2 linked regions of the Oryctolagus cuniculus genome follow. Each later gene encodes a partner of the first gene's protein in a complex. Links are inferred from orthologs where the notes say so. Each region holds a gene or a part of one and is shown in the gene's direction. Other genes may lie near its edges. The genes, in order: CHCHD3 and MICOS13.

Evidence for each region.
Region 2: CHCHD3 (region 1) and MICOS13 share a complex: the UniProt entries of both Homo sapiens proteins name them as parts of the mitochondrial contact site and cristae organizing system (MICOS) complex. The link is inferred for Oryctolagus cuniculus from reciprocal best matches to the Homo sapiens genes CHCHD3 and MICOS13.

The regions. Positions count from the first base shown.
Region 1 is NC_091434.1:168,944,004-168,948,298, reverse strand, and holds the start of CHCHD3 (MICOS complex subunit MIC19), read left to right. Parts: upstream 1-1,318; 5' UTR 1,319-1,489; coding exon 1,490-1,570; intron 1,571-4,295. UniProt on the Homo sapiens protein: Component of the MICOS complex, a large protein complex of the mitochondrial inner membrane that plays crucial roles in the maintenance of crista junctions, inner membrane architecture, and formation of contact sites to the outer membrane.
Region 2 is NC_091447.1:60,302,017-60,306,263, reverse strand, and holds MICOS13 (MICOS complex subunit MIC13), read left to right. Parts: upstream 1-1,406; 5' UTR 1,407-1,857; coding exon 1,858-1,886; intron 1,887-2,825; coding exon 2,826-3,003; intron 3,004-3,110; coding exon 3,111-3,162; intron 3,163-3,315; coding exon 3,316-3,416; 3' UTR 3,417-3,452; downstream 3,453-4,247. UniProt on the Homo sapiens protein: Component of the MICOS complex, a large protein complex of the mitochondrial inner membrane that plays crucial roles in the maintenance of crista junctions, inner membrane architecture, and formation of contact sites to the outer membrane.

The DNA.
Region 1 (4,295 bases):
AAAATGAATAAGTGATAAATTATTATTGTTGATGTCTGACACACAAGGTGTCATGGCCTGCTGTTGATAATGTTGAAAGCGGCCACCTGAAGGTAGTGCATATTTTCATTACTTTTGTAAGGACAAGGGTCATGGGGCCAGCACTGTGCCACACCAGGTGCTAGTTTGAGTCCTGGCTGGTCCACTTCCAAACAGCTCCCTGCTGATGGGCCTGGGAAAGCAGCAGAAGGTGACCCAAGTCCTTGGGCCCCTGCACCCACATGGGAGACCTGGAAGAAGCTCCTGGCTCCTGGCTTTGGTCTGGCTGAGCCCTGGCCATTGCAGCCATCTGGGGAGTGAACTAGCACATGGAAGACATTTCTCTCTCTCTCTCTCTCTCGTTCTCACTCTCGCTCTCTCCCTCTACCTCTTTGTAATTCTTGCCTTTCAAATAAATAAATAAATAAATCTTAAAAAAAGAACTAGGGTCGTATGGCTAATGTGGAGCAAAGTGTTAAGCAAAAAAATTGTAAGGATGTAGGTGGAACTTGAAAATTGTTTACTGGTCTTGTAGAAATGAAATACTCTAGTGAACCAGAAACTTTCCAAGATGGATTCTCTCAACTTTGCCTGCTGTGGTTTCCATAGTCCCACTAACTTATACTATTCTTCTCTTCGTAACTGTGTTATGGTCCAAGGTATATAACAGAAGTGGAAGGAGACACAAACTTGGAAACCGAATTCCGTATACGGAGTATAATGTACTTTTCGTGTTTTCTCATTTGTAGATTTTATAACGACAGCATTTAAGTTTTCACTTTACAAGAAGAAATCAAACATCTACATAGTTTATGAAATGGGGATACAGGAAAATGCATTTTTTTTAATGACTCAGACTAAAATAATGAGCTGCTAACTTCTACTTCAGGGATTTGTATTTACAGGAAGCTGTGCATCTCCCCCATGAACCTGAGATCCGTTAAGAACGAGCTTGCGTCTTTGACCTCACTCTGCTGAGTTTTCAGGATAACGTCTTCAAAGCATGCTTGAGCGATGATTGCACTTCTTCCAAGCTGCCCAGAGAGCAACCCCTTCTGGAGGGAAAGACTACAACTCCCAGCATGCCTTGCGTCCTCCGGGACGAGGCAAGAGAGTCCCACCACCCCTCGTGCCCGATAGGGACTACAATTCCCACTTCACCCGGGAGCTCCGGAAACTTGTCAAACAGCACCTGTTGCCATAGCATCCGGGTCCAGGCCAGCCAATTCCAGCACCCTCCGCCGAGTGGAGGCGGGCCCTTCGCGGCTCTGACCAATCGGAGGTGTAGCTGTTTCGGCACGTGACCGGAGGAGGCGGGAACTCAGACCGGCGCCTTCTCCTTGCTCCTTGGGGTCGTGGCCTTGCTCCCGTGCAGCCCGGGAAGGGTCCCGGCACGTTGGCGCGCGTGTGCGCGGAGTTGTGAAGCGCTCGTGGTCCGTGCTGGATCCGTGCAGGAGCGGGGTCAGGAGCCATGGGCGGGACCGCCAGCACCCGCCGGGTCACCTTCGAGGCGGACGAGAATGAGAACATCACCGTGGTGAAGGGCATCCGGGTGAGTTCCGGCGGGCGGGCGGCCCACGGCTCGGACCCCTGCCCTGCGTTTCCTGGACCCGCTCTGCTGCCCGCTGCTCGGACCCCCAGCCAGGCCTTCCCTGCACCTCACCGGCCCGAAGCCGGCCTTGGGGAGGATGCGGGAGTTTGACTTCTCCGGGCGTTCGTGCAGAGGCCCTGGGCCGGGTGAGGGGTGCAGTGCGGGGCGGCCGCGGCGCGCCGGGTGCCCCGAGACCCTCCGCTGGCCTTGCCCTGCTCGGCGGTCTCGGGGGCTTCCTCGCTGCCCCTCGCCGCCCTGGCCCCGTCTGTGCAGCGGGTCCGGTGTCACTCCCCTTGGCTCGGGGCCCGCAGCCCGCTTTCCCGCGGGCACAGGCTCCCTCCCCGGGTGCGCTGCCGCCGCCGGCTCGCCTGCCTCGGCTTCCAGTCCTTCCTTGAGCGCGCTCCCACCGGGGCCACCCCTTGCCCTGGCTCGCGCCTCCGCCGCCCCCGCCGCTTCCCGTTCTCTCGGTCTCTGCGCTTTCCCGGGCGCTGCCTCTGTGACCTGTGGCTCCCGGGACTGGTGCCTGCCGGCCGGGCCCGGGCTGGGATAGGCCTGCGAGGTTTCAGAGCTCTGAGAGGTGATAGCGAGTTCTCTTACGCCCTCTCCACGTACTTGGCGCCTGAACTCAAACTTGACTTTGCTCCAGGGAGTCAGCACACCAGCACTCACTTCACTTAACACGCTCTCCGCTGCAAGGACCAGCCTGCATCCGGGAAATAAAGCCATGTGGACTTCAGGGTGTCTTAAGATACTTTGTATTTTCCCTCCCCTGCTGTCCTGTCACACAACCAGTCTCAATGAATGTATTTACTGTTGTGTTACCGGGAAATAAAACTTACTAAATACGCACAGTGTTGAACTCTTTTTGGTCTGTGACCAAGGTTTCTTGATTCATTAACAACAGTGCTGCATTTTGCGATATAGCATCTGAGGCTGCATTCTTGTGTTCTTGGTGGTTTAGTTGCTCCTCCTTGGAGTACAATAAAAAGGACTGGAAACTCTGAGTTTTATGCAGAGATTTAAAAAAAAAATCTTGCCTTTAGGCTGTGGGTGTTCCACCTCTGAGGGTGAAAGAGGAAAGGCAGCACAAGATAAGTTTTAGGTGAGAAGATTTTAGTTAGGAAAATGTGTGTCACTCTAACACAGACACAGGGGGACAGCAGACAGAACTGGCGGCGAGTCTGGCCACAGCTCAGAGATGCCTAGCGAGTATGAAGATGGAGGAAGGTGGCAGTGGGGATGTGTGTTCTCCTGAAATGGAAAGGTGCTCTAAAAATCTGCGTTTCAGAACTTGAAGAAGTATCTTTCTTGGATAGAAAACTTGACGAGTGCATTCTTCAGTTTTTTCTTTTTCCTTCTCCGATATTACGTCTTATGTTTGCTCCTTCAATTCGAGCTCACGCCATGCTCCTTGCAACCTCTCTGTGTTTTTTTCATAGCACGCCCTTCACCTAGATGCCCTTACACTGTTTGCTGTGGCGTCAAGTGCTTCTGCTGCAGGGCGGGTTGGCGGTCTCTGCACTTCGGTTTCCTTATCTGTAAGAGGATGGGGCAGGATCTCAGATCTCTGGTCGTCTGAAATTCTGTGACCCTCGTGCCACTGTCTGTGTCCTGTGGCCTTCCTCAGCGCCGTGCAGTTTCCTCTGGAAATGACACGCGGTGGAATCATTGAGTACTGAGAGGTCACTCTGATTGCTTTGAAGTTATTGTCAGAAGGGTGCCAACGTACAGTTAAACAGCCCTCAGTTTAAATCTTGGGTCAGCTATTTATTAGCCCGTGACCTTGGACAAGGCACGTGTCTGATCATATTTGCTGTCCATAAAGGGGAACACGGTTGCTTCTGTCTTGTGCTGGAAAGATGAGGTACGTTCTTTGCTTCTGGCCCTCTGTAGGTTTTATTAAAGGCTGCCATCGGCCAGCACTGAAGCTCACTGGGCTAATCCCCTGCCTGTGGCCCCAGCACCCTGGGTTCTAGTCCCGTTCGGGGCGCCAGATTCTGTCCTGGTTGCCCCTCTTCCAGTCCAGCTCTCTGCTGTGGCCCAGGAGTGCAGTGGAGGATGGCCCAAGTGCTTGGGTCCTGCACCCCATGGGAGACCAGGAGAAGCACCTGGCTCCTGGCTTCGGATGGGCAGGCCATAGCAGCCATTTGGGGCGGCGAACCAACGGAAAGGAAGACCTTTCTCTCTGTCTCTCCCTCTCACACTGTCTAAATCTGCCTGTCCAAAAAACAAAACAAAACAAAAAATACAAAAAGGCAGCCATCATTTCACAGGGATTCTGTATTATAGTGGAAAGAGAATACCGTGAAGGAAAGCAGACTTGAGCTTGGATCCTAGCTCCGCCTCTCAGAAGCTGGGTGGCTCTGGACAAGGCACTTTTGATTGTAAATCTAGATTTTGGCACTTGTCTGAGGATTTGACGTCATGTATGTGAGCATCTGACAGTGCCTTGTGGCTGTCAGGAGAACCGTTGAGGGAATGGCTACATTAACTCATGCAAACTTAGGTAAGACATGTACGCACGAGTGGACTGGGAAGTGAGTTGCTGGCTTCTGGCTGTCGCCTGCGTGCTTTTTGTCTAGGTATTTTGTAGGTTTTCTTTCTAGTTAATTTTTACGTCTTTCTTGGCTTGAAGCAGTGTCTAGTTTCCTTCTGAGGCGTGGGGAAGGGTAAGAAACAGCAGTCT
Region 2 (4,247 bases), on another chromosome or scaffold:
CTCCTCCGCCACCTTCCGGACCACACCTGCCGCTGCCCGGCAAGATCACCTGGTCTTCCCCCCAACCCCGCGAGAAATCCTGACTTCATCCGGGGCAGGTGCAGCCCGGCCTCCGCCCCCTGGTCTGCTCTCCATTCCAGCCCCCTGCTAACACACACCCTCGGAGCCACCCACCCGCCTGGGAGCCCCCGGAGTGGGCTCCTTCTGCCTGGCCCAGCCTTTATGGTGGGGCCGTCTGGGGAGTGAGCCAGGGGCTGAGAGCAACCTCTTCCCAGCTCCGCACCCCGCCCTGTCCTTCAAGCTTTCAAATGCATTGTATAAATAAATTAAATAACACACACACCCCTTGTGAAAAAAGAAAGGGAGAAACAGCCCAGGTTCATAGGGGAGTCTGTCCTGCGCAGGCACCGGCCCATCACGCCTGGGTGGGTCGGGGTCTGTCTAAAGAAGCCACGGGCAGACAGGAGCTCAAAGATGCCCAAGGCAGAGGCGGCCCAGGGGGCGCAGGGCAGATGGGGGGGATCCCTCAAGTCTCCAATCTCCAGATCCAGGCCCGAGTCCTGAGACCCCGCTCAGCGGCTGACCCCAACCCGCCTCTCCCAGGCCCCAGCGTGCCCCAAGTACACGGTGCGGGGGCCCAGGTGCTGGCCTCGCCTCCTCCCACGCTGTCGCCCACCACGCACGGCCTCCGGGTCTCAGCAACGCCCCTACAGGAACCCCCGACCCTCTTCTCCCGCGCAGACTCCGGACCCCGCCTCCTGCTGGACCTGGGGCGGGGGCGCCAATGGCCTGGCCCCGCCCACCTGTCGCTGCACCTGTCCGCTCTCAGTGGCAGCTTCCGGTCAGGCCGACCCCTTCCCAGGCCCAGGTCAGCGCACGAAGCCCCTCGGCAGGGGCCTCTTCCCAGCCCCCGCCCCGCCCGCAGCAGCCAGGCAGAGTGGACGATGTGAGATGGACAGAGATGGGCGGACCGACAGTGGCCAGCGGGGATGAGGGAGGAGTGGGGGGCCGGAGCTTTCCCCCTGGACAATGGGGACCCACCGCGCGCCCCCAGCTGCGCACTCACCCACTCGGGCCTGTTTGCCCCAGTGTCCGGCGAGGCTGGGGTCCTGGCCTGGGAGTCACGCCAACGCCCTGAGGGTCTCCCTTCCCAGCCCAGTGCGGCCGGGCCCCCGACCGCGCCCCCTCCCGTAGGGCCCGAGTCACGTGACGCCAAACCCACCTCCTCGGGGGGAGGGGCCGGGCCGCCAGGACTCCGCGCCCCCCGTTGCCTGGCAACGGCCTCCGCCCGCCCAACTCCCGGCCACCCGCGCCGTGGCCCCGCCCCCGGGGCGGAAGTTCCGAACGGCGCGCGATCACGTGACCGAGGGCCCGCCTCTCGCCCACAATCCCGCCCTGGCGTTGCCGGGACAACCACCTTCTCGGCGCGGGCTCCCTAGGTCGAAGGCTTTTGTCTCCCGCGCGGGCGCGGCTGACTTCGCCTCTGACCCCTTCTTGGTCACCCTTAGGCTTCACTCCAGACCCCCTACGTCTCTTTCCACGCACGGACGCCGGGGTAGGACCAAACTACATTTCCCAGGAGGCTTCGCGGCCCAGCGAGTTCACGGGGCGGTACTGACTACACTTCCCAGACGGCCTTGCGGCTCCCGGGTCGCCCACACAGCTTACATTTCCCAGAAGCCTCTCTGCCCGTAGGACCCTCGCTAGTCCTTCTCCCGAGTCTCAGAGGCTTTAGCGGGACTTCGACTCCCGGAGGCCTTTGCGGCTGACAGGAAAGACTACAGGTCCCGGCGTCCTCTGCGCACCGCGAGCGGAAGCGGCGGGCAGTGTGGTGTCCTTGCGCGGAGCCGAGCGACCATGGTGGCCCGAGTGTGGTCGCTGATGAGGTTCGTGGGGCGGCCGGGCGGGGTCCCGAACCCCCGAGAGAGTCCCCGTCAGGACCCCCACCCCGCCTGTCCGGTTGGCTCGCGGTGGTCTGCTCCCCGCTCAGATAGGAGCGCAGACTGGTCGGAAGCCACCGGGGGTCGCGGTCGCCCCTTCCCGCCGCCTGTGTGCCGTGAGGCCGGGGCGGGGAGTCCCGCATTGGGGTCCCCCGGGAGGCCAGGGTGCCCACTGCCCCTGCCCTGTACCGTGGGGCCGGCGCGGGGAGTCCCGCATTGGCGTCCCCCGGGAGACCAGGGTGCCCGCTGCCCCTGCCCTGTGCCGTGGGGCCGGCGCGGGGAGTCCCGCATTGGCGTCCCCCGGGAGGCCAGGGTGCCCACTGCCCCTGCCCTGTGCCGTGGGTTCGGGGGCAGGGAGTCCCGCATTGGCGTCCCCCGGGAGACCAGGGTGCCCGCTGCCCCTGCCCTGTGCCGTGGGGCCGGCGCGGGGAGTCCCGCATTGGCGCCCTCCGGGAGGCCAGGGTGCGCGCTGCCCCTGCCCTGTGCCGTGGGGCCGGCGCGGGGAGTCCCGCATTGGCGTCCCCCGGGAGACCAGGGTGCCCGCTGCCCCTGCCCTGTGCCGTGGGGCCGGCGCGGGGAGTCCCGCATTGGCGCCCCCCGGGAGGCCAGGGTGCGCGCTGCCCCTGCCCTGTGCCGTGGGGTCGGGGTCGGGGAGTCCCGCATTGGCGTCCCGGGAGGCCAGGGTGTGCACTGCCCCTGCCCTGTGCCGTCGGCCGGCGCGGGGAGCCCCGCATTGGCGCCCCCCGGGAGGCCAGGGTGCGCGCTGCCCCTGCCCTGTGCCGTGGGGCCGGCGCGGGGAGTCCCGCATTGGCGTCCCCCGGGAGGCCAGGGTGCGCGCTGCCCCTGCCCTGTGCCCTCCCTGAGCGCCCACCTCCCGCGCCGCAGGTTCCTCCTGAAGGGCAGCGTGGCCGGGGGCGCCGTCTACCTGGTGTATGACCAGGACCTGCTGGGGCCCAGCGACAGGGGCGAGGCGGCGCTGCGCAAGGCCGAGGAGGTGGTGCCGCCGGCCGTGTACCAGCTCAGCCAGTACGTGTGCCAGCAGACGGGCCTGCAGGTGCCCCAGGTACTCGGCCGCGCGCCCTCTCCGGCTCAGGCCGTGCGCGGGGCTGGGGCGCCCTCCCCCCCACCCCGACCCCGCTCACCGGCCCGTGCCCCTCCCCCTCCCCGCAGCTCCCGGCTCCTCCCAAGATCAGCTTCCCCATCCGAGAGACCTGGGATAAAGGTAGGTGCGCGCCCCGCCCCTGGGGACCACCCCTCTTCCTGCGCTGTGTGTCTCCCGTGGATCTCGAGGCGAGGGGGGGAGGGGCGGCTGGGCCGTGCCTCAGTTTCCCCGCTGGTCTCCAAAGCCCGGTGCCCGGCCCCGCCTCCCCCGCAGGCATCCTCACGGTGATGGCGGCTCTGTCTGCGGCCCCGGCCAAGGCCCGCGAGTACTCCAGGGAAGGCTGGGCGTACGTGCGGGAGCGCACCAAGCAGTGAGCGGCCCGGCCGGCCCAATAAAGGCCTCTGCACTTGCCCCTGACCCGCTGCTGGCCCGGGCGCCGCGGGGGGGGGGGGGGGGGGCTGGGAGCCCGCCTGGGGCCGGCCCTGCGCCGGTGGGTGGGGCCAGGGTGGGCTCGGCTCTCGGAGGCGGGGGGCGTGCCAAGGCCCTCCTGCCCTACCAGGGCGGGCAGTGTCCCTTCTGGCGGCCCTGGGGGTCCGCAGCACCCCTCGCCACGCAGCTCTGTGACCATGGAGGTCTCTCGTGGGGTGTGGCAGCTGGCGGCTGCGGGGGGAGGGGCTGCACCCGAGGCCATCAGCCCCTCCATGGGGACAGGGGAGGGGTGGGCCCAGAGGCCCGCACTAGGCGCTAGGCAGGGCGGCCGAGTGGCCACGTGGCCGGGACCGCTGGCGGCCGTGAGCTCGGGGGGCTGAGCCGGCGCTGGGGGGCACCGCGGCTGCCCCTGGGGGGTCGTGGTCACTGCACCTGCCTGCGGGCCTGGCGCAGCCCCCGGCGATTTACCCCGAGTGACCCCTCACCGCAGGATGTGGTGGGTGAGCCCCGGGGAATCCTGGGACACACCCCCGGGGGCCAGCGCGCCCCACGTCGCGGTTGTGGCTTGGGTGGCCCTGAGGCGCGCGCCCTGCACTTTCTCGGCACTCGGAGCCGGGTGGGCACCGGAAGTCAGGACAGGCGGGAGCCCGCCCCAGAGCGCCCAGTCCTAAAGCCTCGGGCAGCCACGCACAGGCCACCTCTGGTGTGTGGTAGAAACTCGGGGAGGCAGTTTGAGATCCACGCACGCGAGGAGTGTTCCGAAGACCCACGGGGCG